Linked DNA regions of Oryctolagus cuniculus. The protein of the gene in region 2 purifies or fractionates together with the protein of the main gene of each other region. This does not show direct contact. Links are inferred from orthologs where the notes say so. Each region holds a gene or a part of one and is shown on either strand. Other genes may lie near its edges.

The links.
Region 1: the proteins of protein argonaute-4 (region 2) and TNRC6A purify together in Homo sapiens (co-immunoprecipitation; 4 studies listed by BioGRID and IntAct, with this or other methods). This does not show direct contact. The link is inferred for Oryctolagus cuniculus from reciprocal best matches to the Homo sapiens genes AGO4 and TNRC6A.

What each region holds. Positions count from the first base shown.
Region 1 is NC_091450.1:14,640,485-14,644,289, forward strand, and holds part of TNRC6A (trinucleotide repeat-containing gene 6A protein), read right to left. Parts: intron 3,365-3,805; coding exon 3,294-3,364; intron 2,533-3,293; coding exon 2,393-2,532; intron 2,089-2,392; coding exon 1,713-2,088; 3' UTR 1-1,712.
Region 2 is NC_091438.1:136,830,525-136,835,037, forward strand, and holds the start of protein argonaute-4, read right to left. Parts: upstream 2,971-4,513; 5' UTR 2,736-2,970; coding exon 2,717-2,735; intron 1-2,716.

The DNA.
Region 1 (3,805 bases), on a different chromosome or scaffold from region 2:
AAACTTTCATTATAAAAAAGAGCCTACAAATAAATTCACAAAAAAGAGACAATTAATGTTGAGCAGCCAAAAAGTCATGGTTTATTATATCTGAAGAAATTTCATAATTCAAACACAACCAAACTGTACATTTTACAATCACATTCTATTTGTAAACAGTTAAAAGCCACTGACTTCTTTTGCATCTTAGGACACAAACAGTTAGAATCAAGGCAATGAAATGATGGCAAATTCTGTACTGTTAAAATTTTTACCCTTGTTTAGTCTCTCTTCTTTGACTAAGCAAGCATTATAATACCATTTGTGGGCAAAAAAAGGGGGGGGGGAGAAATTTAAAAATGGTGTAACTCGTTAGTTTGCAACAACATTTAAAATTTTCTTTATACAACAAACAACTCTGTAAGCCCAATACCTTGGTTACAGTATGCATAGTTACGGATTTCGGCTTTAAGGGACAACAGTTAAACATGAACACAGTCACGAGAGAGCAGAAACAGAGAGCCACTTGATGGGATTACAAAAATGATTACCTACTGATTATTAGCAAACCATCATCACTCACTAATAAAAAGACAGCATCTGAAAGCAGAATGTCAAACTCCAGCTTTAAGCATTTTTTTTTCCTGTTTTTTGTTTTTTTGGCAGAGAAAATTCTTTAACAGAGCAATACGTAGTATCAGTGCTAAAAGTTGGGGTTTTTCTTTTTTTTCCTATAAGAAACTACAAGGATTTTTTTTTTTGTTTTTTGTTTTTTTTAAACTGGGGAACTGGTTTTCCTGAGAACCATGCTCTTTGATTTAGGACAAGAATAGAAAACAAAAGAACATGGCCAAATGCTGCTCCTTTTTCCCAGAGATAGAAAGCATCTTTTAAATCATCCTCCATTTTTTTTTTGTCTTTTAAATTTTTTTTAAATGATGGAGAGTAAACATTTTTCTTCTCAAAAACAAACAAAAAAATCTGTAAACAAGAAGGTTCACCGTGGGAACCTTCAAAACAAAATGGAAAGCCTATTCAAAGTGCAGGGCCCGTCCTGGGTGGCAGGTGGGCTGCAAGTCACAGCTGTGGCCACAGTTTTTCAAACTGCAGAGCGAAATTCTTTAGTTTTACAACATGAAAAAACTGGTGCAACACTTTCATTAATAATCCTAAGTCAGTATCATAACTTGATCTTTTAAACTCCACGATACCACAACAAGGTAGGCAACATCAAGGCATAGTAGAGAGCGCACACCTTGGAAGAGCATCCTTGAGTAAACACTTACACTGGAACAGCTGCCCCCCCACGTTGCCGATTAGACGGAGAGAACATCCTTCAGTGCAAAGGTAAAAGCTCATACATTATCAGCCCAAAAAATGGTTTTGCAAAAGAAAAAAAGAAAACAAAAAAAAAGAGAAAGAAGGGGAGGGGTAGAAAAAAGAAAGACTCCGAAGGCTAAACATGATGAATACACACGAGTGAGCTCGTTCGATACGGCTTAGCATGTATGGCGCTATTTGGGAGTGTAGATAGATAGATACCTTTTCACATTATAATATTGGCCTGCATGATTCAAGTATTCAAACTGATATGTTTTGGGGAAAACAAAGTGGAAAATGTGCAGAGAATAGCTGTTCCCACAGGTGGCCCCTGGCTGCAGGCGGCGAGCCCAACTTAGTGCTCCTTTCTTTCGCGTCTTGAGGTCACAGTTTGTGAGTCTACGTCTACACCGTTACATGGACTCTCCACCCCCACCCAGGTGGTCAACAGAAAGAAAAGCATTAATGGGGGATGGGCTGCTAATTCCCCGGGGGTCGCTGCTGCTGGGAGGACCCCACAGGCTTGTGGAATAATGGGGGGTCCCCCAGAGTGAAGTGCCGTGAAGGTCTCCACAGTTAGTTCCCGACAGCCCAGCACCATTCCAGTGATTGAGATCGGTCCGGCTGGAGAACGAGTGGGAACAGTCGAGGGAGCCCAGCCGGCTCTGGCTGGACCCGAGAGACTGCCAGCCAGGAGAAGGGGTCAGAGACTGACTTTGTGCAAAGAAACGACTGATCTCCTCTTCACTGGCAAACTCAGCAAGAATAGTAGTGTTCCCCAGTACACACCTGCGGAGAGAGCACAGCGGGCACGTGAGGACGCTCCCCAAGGGCTTCCCGATTCCCAAACAAGGGCGCAGCCTGGCCGCGGGACAACAGCTCCGCACCGTGCAGAGGGAGCGCGCGGGTGGCTTGGCCCGGCCGTTCCCAGAGTAACCTCCTCCAGGCCAGCGTGGTGCCGAGAGCCTGCTGCGCTCTCCTGGGAGCGAAGCCACGGCGCCCAGGGCTGACTGGCAGTGTGCTGCAGCGGGGGCACGGGCGCCGGGCCCCCCCCGCCCCCAGCTTCGCCGCCGCAGGGGCACGGCCTACTCACATGTGCAGAGACTTTTGTGCCTTCACTACCTCTTCTTTTGAACTGTAACGGACCAGCGCGTTTCCATGTGGGAGGTTCAGGTGGAATGTGATGAGCGGGCCATGCTGCATGCACAGGGTGCGCAGAGTTGAGCCATCGATCTAGGAGAGAGCGGGACGCCGGGCGGGCGGAGAAGGCGCCGTGAGGGCCAGCAGGAAAGCGGTCCCGGGTTCGGCGCTGCTCCTGGCACTGCGCTTCCGTGGCCCTCGCTGGGCTGGGAGACGGCGCCCCCTCCTCACCTTCCTCCCAGAGCAGCACCTTTGGGGCCTTGAGGCCCCCGGACACCCCCAGGACCCCAGTTCTGTAGCCCCTGCCCCTGCTGCGGCTTCGTATTTTCTCTTCCCTGACGCGAGGACGGGGCCCATCAAGGCACTGCTCCTGGGGTGGGAAGCGAGCTGGGTTCATAATATCCAGCCGCCAGGGGCTAAGAAAATGCTCTAAGCTCAAAGAGCAGACAGGAGGGGAGGGTACTTGGGGCCCTGCCACCCTCACGGGAGACCCAGAGGAGTCCTGAGCGCCTGCCTTGGGCCTGGCTCAGCCCTGGCTGTTGTGGGCATTTGAGGAGCGAACCAGAGGATGGAAGATTCTCATTCTCTCTCTGCCTTTCAAATAAAGAGAATAAAACATCGATAACAATAATTATAATAAAGAGCAGACCAGGCTTTCTTAAGGCGTAGCAGGAGCCACGTGCATCTGTCCATCTAAATGCCCTCATGAAATGCTGGTGCCCAGACCCCAGCCCGCTGGGCGAGACCCAGGAATCCGGGTTTCGGGCTGGCCTCCGTGCCCACTGGCCGTGGCCAGCCCTGACTACCACCCAGGAGCCCTCAGCTCACACAGACCAAGGCCCTGGCGCCCTTACCTGAGGTGTAAGGTTTTTTAGAACAAGCCAATTTGTTATTCTCCCTGAGCTGCTCTCACCCCAGCTGGAACCTGAACAAGGGGAAAGAAAAGAAAAGAAACAAAACCGAGTCGGTTTCCCAAGGCTGTGGGCGGTGGCACGGGCAGAGCACAGCGGCTCTGACGGACACTCGGAGGACCACCCGCTCCCTGGCTTCCTTCCCTACGTCCCCTTGCCTCCAGCTCATCACGGGGGCGGGCAGCAGTGAGCCACACCAGACCAGGGACCTTTGGGCCTTCTCATGTCCAGGTCTCAGGGGACTGTGCATGTCTATCCCTCAGGGTATGGAGCTTGAGGGGACGTGAGAGCACACGGCCACCCAGACAGCCCAGGTCTGGGGTACACATTCCCCACCTGGCTCCGTGCGCCCACTCCGCCCGGCAGCACAGCTCGCTCCTGACCGCCCCCCCTTCAGTGCCTCACGAATACTTCCGGATGGCCTCAGACGCGGCCGCACCCAGCCCCTGCTTGGT
Region 2 (4,513 bases):
ATCAGGAAGTACAGTAACAGAGTCTTGAACCAGGCACTCTGATATGGGATGTGGGCAACCCAAGTGATGGCTTAACCCACTGTGCCACAAGGCCTGCCCCTTTTTATACTGGTGGCATCTCACTCTTCTTATCTGTAAAATGGGGACAAACACCTGCCTCACTTACCTTCTAGTTACAAAGGCATTTTCCAAACTATAAAGCACAGCAATAATAAAAGATATAGTCAATGTAACAAAAAAAAAGCGGTAATCTAATTAATTCTGTCTTGGAGAGACTGTCAGAAACTGAAACAAAGGGGTGTGTGTGGTGGTGGCGAGGGTGTGGGAGGGCTTGCAGAGAAGACTGAGAAAGCTTCAGTGGCTGTTCAGGTGAGGAGGTCACAAAGCACCAGGTGAAGGTGTGTGTTGAGGGAAGCAGAGTTGCTTTTCTAGTCCTGAAACAGCCTGGATGAAATATCAAAGAATGGGGCAAGACTTTGGTACGGTGCTTAAGTCGTTGCTTGGGATACTCACATCCCATAGTGGAATCCCTAGGTTTGAGTCCTAGCTCCACTTCTGATCCAGCTCCCTGCTAACCCACACCCTGGGAAGCAGAGGAGATGGTCCATGTACTTCCATTTTTACCACTACGTGGGAAACCCTGATTGAGTTCCAGGCTTCTGACTTCAGTCTGGCCTGGCCCTAGCTGTCACAGGCATTTAGGGAGTGAATCAGAAGATAAAAGTTATCTCCCCACACACACCCTTTAAATAAAGAAAATAAATAATATTCCTAAAAGTTCACGGAAAAATGCATATCTGTTAAAAAAATAAATATCCAAGGCTATCAACCCTGTTTGTTCTGATTTCTACTGCTCAGGAAGCAGCTTCTTTTACTCTTTGGGTTTCCAAGGCACTACAACACCAATAAAAGGAGTTTGCTACACAGCAGACAGGAAAATATTCCAGTCAATAGAAATGATCTATGTGACATTTCGGCTTACTCATAAGTGCCTTTCGTAACCACAATTTGAACAATCCTGGGTAAACTGAGAAGTCCTCAAACCTGCAAAAGCTAAAAATCAAACCAAAAACTAGTCCCTGGCCAATTCCTAACACCACAGGTGGATCCATTCCTTGGAATTCAGCATGTGCACACAGTTGCATAGTTTCTTTGCACATCAACTCATAAATGCAACAGCTGCCTTGATTATGAGTTATTCATGGGAGGGGAGGAAATATTTCTTGAGCATCTATAAGTCTTAACCTCTACAATCAGATTTCTCACATACATTATCTCATTTCATTCTCACAACAATCTTGCAGCACCTAATTATTATTAGCCTCATTTTATAGATGAGGAAATGAAAGTTCAAAGGAATTAAGTAACTTGCCTACGGTCATACAATGATTAAATTACTAGATTTCCGGGGGGGGAAGCCATTGAAATCCATAAGCTGTACTTTGGAAATTTATATTCATTAAATAAAAGTTAAAAAAATTACTAGATTGCATTTGAACAGAAGTCTGTTATATTCCTAAAGTCTAGATCGTGTCTTTAGCGGCAGAACAGATATTAAGTAACCTAGCACATTACAATGAGGTTTATCAAATAATCTTCATGTGACACCAATTTATTTTTCAAAGGCATATAAAATTTGAGGAGGTCCTTTTAAAAACAGCAGAAACAGCAAATCAAGGTGGAGTGTGCTCAGTTATGCAAACAAATCCTAAGTCAACAACTCTGAAAAGTTCCCGAACACAAATGGCAAACTGATTTCTCTAAGCACTAAGAAAAATGAAATCCTCTACAATTAAAGCAAGGCTTGCAAATTAAAGTTAATTCCACCACATCCCCTCAACCCGACTCCACTGAGCCAAGGCATCAGAGACCAGGTGGGAGACCCAGGCCCCCACTAAGAGGGTATCTGTGACCACCTGGAGGGTTCCTTGGGTTTGGGCAGAGTGAGGGAGGCAACAAGAAGCCTGCACAGCCACAGAGAGATCGTTTCCAAAGCACTTTCTCCTTCATTGCATCCTCGCAACCACTCACAGCCCCATTAGAAGAGTCCTCGAGACACATAAGCCTGCTCCGGAGCCAGCTGGCTGGTGGCTGCCCTGCCACTCAAGGGCTAGCCTCGACTACTCTGCGACAGACACACTGGCTGACAGACAGAGGCATGGCAGCAGGTTCCGTGAGACTTCAGCGCCTTCCGGAAAAGCATGTTTGCTCCTGGGCCTTCAGGGGTCAAGAGCGGCGTCTCAGGGAGGTTCTTCCCCCACTGAGGGCTCTGGATCGCAAAGAAAAACAGGGGTGCGGCCCCGAACCCAGAATACCCAAGGGAGCAGGCGGGGGACCTGCCCAGCCAGGACCAGGCCTTCGTGCGCACCGGACATAGATGTCCCCTATGAGGACCAAAGTAGTCTCGCCGCGACCCTGGGGCACAGATTCCCCTGATGGGGTTGTGTCAGGTGGCCCCTGCACCTGGAGACACCTTCCTAGGCCTCCGCACCAGCTCCAGCCTGCGTCTCCCGGCTGGGGCGCGGTCCCCGCCCCCTGCGGCCCGGGTCCGCTCCCTCCGCCGCGCTCCGTGCGTCGCGGGGCACCGATCCCCTTCCCGGAGGCCTGGAGCCTGAGCCCGGGTGTGCCCGCCGGCGGGCGACAGGGCAGCTGCAGACCCGCCCGCCCGCCCCTGGCCCCGGGTCCGGCCCCAACCCGGCCCGAGCGCTCTCCTCACCGGGTCCCAGCGCCTCCATGGCGGCGGAGGGGGCCGCCTCGCCCCGGTCCCCGGCGCCTCCCGCTCCGGGCCCCGCCGCCGCCGCGTAACGCTTGATCTCGGGAATACTGGCGCTGGGGAAGCGCCGCGGAGACGCGGGCGCTGGGCAGGGGGCGGCGGCGGCGCTCGGCCGGGGGACAGAGACCGGGCTCCTGCGGCTCTTCCGGCCTCAGCGACAACAAAAACAATCCCCGCCGCCGCTGCCGCCGCCGCCAGCGGGAGCGGGAGCCTGAGCCCGCGCACGCCGGTCCAGGCGGGGAGGGGACGCGGGGCGCGCGCGACCCGGGGTCCTGGCGGCCGGAGGGGCGTGCGCGGCCCCAGTCGCGGGGTCCACCGAGCCCTGCCGGGGGCAGGGGGTGGAGTACGGCGGGGACGGGAGCGCGCCTGGAGGGGCAGCGCCCGCAGGACGTGCCGGGCACGCGCGCGCCGGCCCGCTCTGCCCTCCCTGGCCAGGGCTACCACCTCCGGGCAGGTGGCTGTGGGAGGGCTACAAGCGCTCCCCTGAGGGCGTCCGGACACGCTGCGACCAGCCCAAGAGCTGAATGCCAGCTCTGTTGTTTCACACGCGCGGGTATCCCTTTCTGTCCGTGGAAAGTGTCTTGAGATTCGCGTAGGCGCCTCTCCTCCCGCGGGTCCCCAGGTGGCTTCTTTCTCCTCTGTCTCTTCCTGGGGCAGAGAACACGAAAGGCACCGCAGCCCTGTTTTCCTTCACCCATCCCTGCACACCCCGTTGCCTTACAAGTTCTTTCCTAGCAGAAAGAGCTTACCTACTGGGATGCCCCTACCTCAGCACCCAAGTGCCAAGGGCCCCAGAGTCAGCCCAGCAGGCCTAGGCGCCTCCAGGTGTCACTGGGGACTCTGAGTCGGAGCACAGGGAGCACAGGGTGGGGAAGCACTTTCCAGGCAACAGAGTGAGGGAGGGCGCTGTCCACCCATGGGCTGCCATAACCAAGTTTCCCATCTGCCTGACTTTAACGACAGCCCTGAAGTATGAGACCGAAGTGTTGGCATGGTTGGTTTCTTTTGGGACTGCTCTCCTTTCACTTGTAGGAGGCTATCTTCTCCCTGTGTCTTCACATGGTCTTCCCTCTGTACTGTCCTGTCCACATTTGGATTAAGGCCTACCCTGATAACTTCATTGTAACAAAGCTACCCCTTCAAGACCCTATTTCTAAATAAAGTCATTATCAAAGATGCATGAGTTTGGGGTCGGCATGTGGCTTAGTAGGTTAATCCTCACCCTGTGGTGGTGGTATCCCTTATGGGCACTGGTTCAAGTCCCAACTGCTCCACTTCCAATCCAGCTCCCTGTTGATGGCCTGGGAAAGCAGTAGAAGATAGCCCAAGTGCTTGGGCCCCTGCACCTGCATGGGAGACTTGGAAGAAGCTCCTGGCTCCTGGCTTCGGATCGGCCCAGCTCCAACCAATGCAGCAATTTGGGGAGTGAACCAGCAGATGAAAGACATCTTCTCTCTCTCTCTGTAACTCTGCCTCTCAAATAAATAAATAAATATTTGGGGGGTGGTGCTGTGGAGTAGCAGGTAAAGCCGTTGGCTGTGATGCCAGCATCCCATATGGGCACTGGTTCAAGTCCCGGCTGCTCCACTTCTGATCCAGCTCTCTGTTATGCCCTGGAAAAGTAGTGGAAGTCCTTGGGTCCCTGTATCCATGTGGGAGACTCAGAAGAAGCTCCTGGCTCCTGGCTTCAGATTGGCGCAGCTCTGGCTGTTGCAGCCAATCGGGGAGTAAACCAGCAGA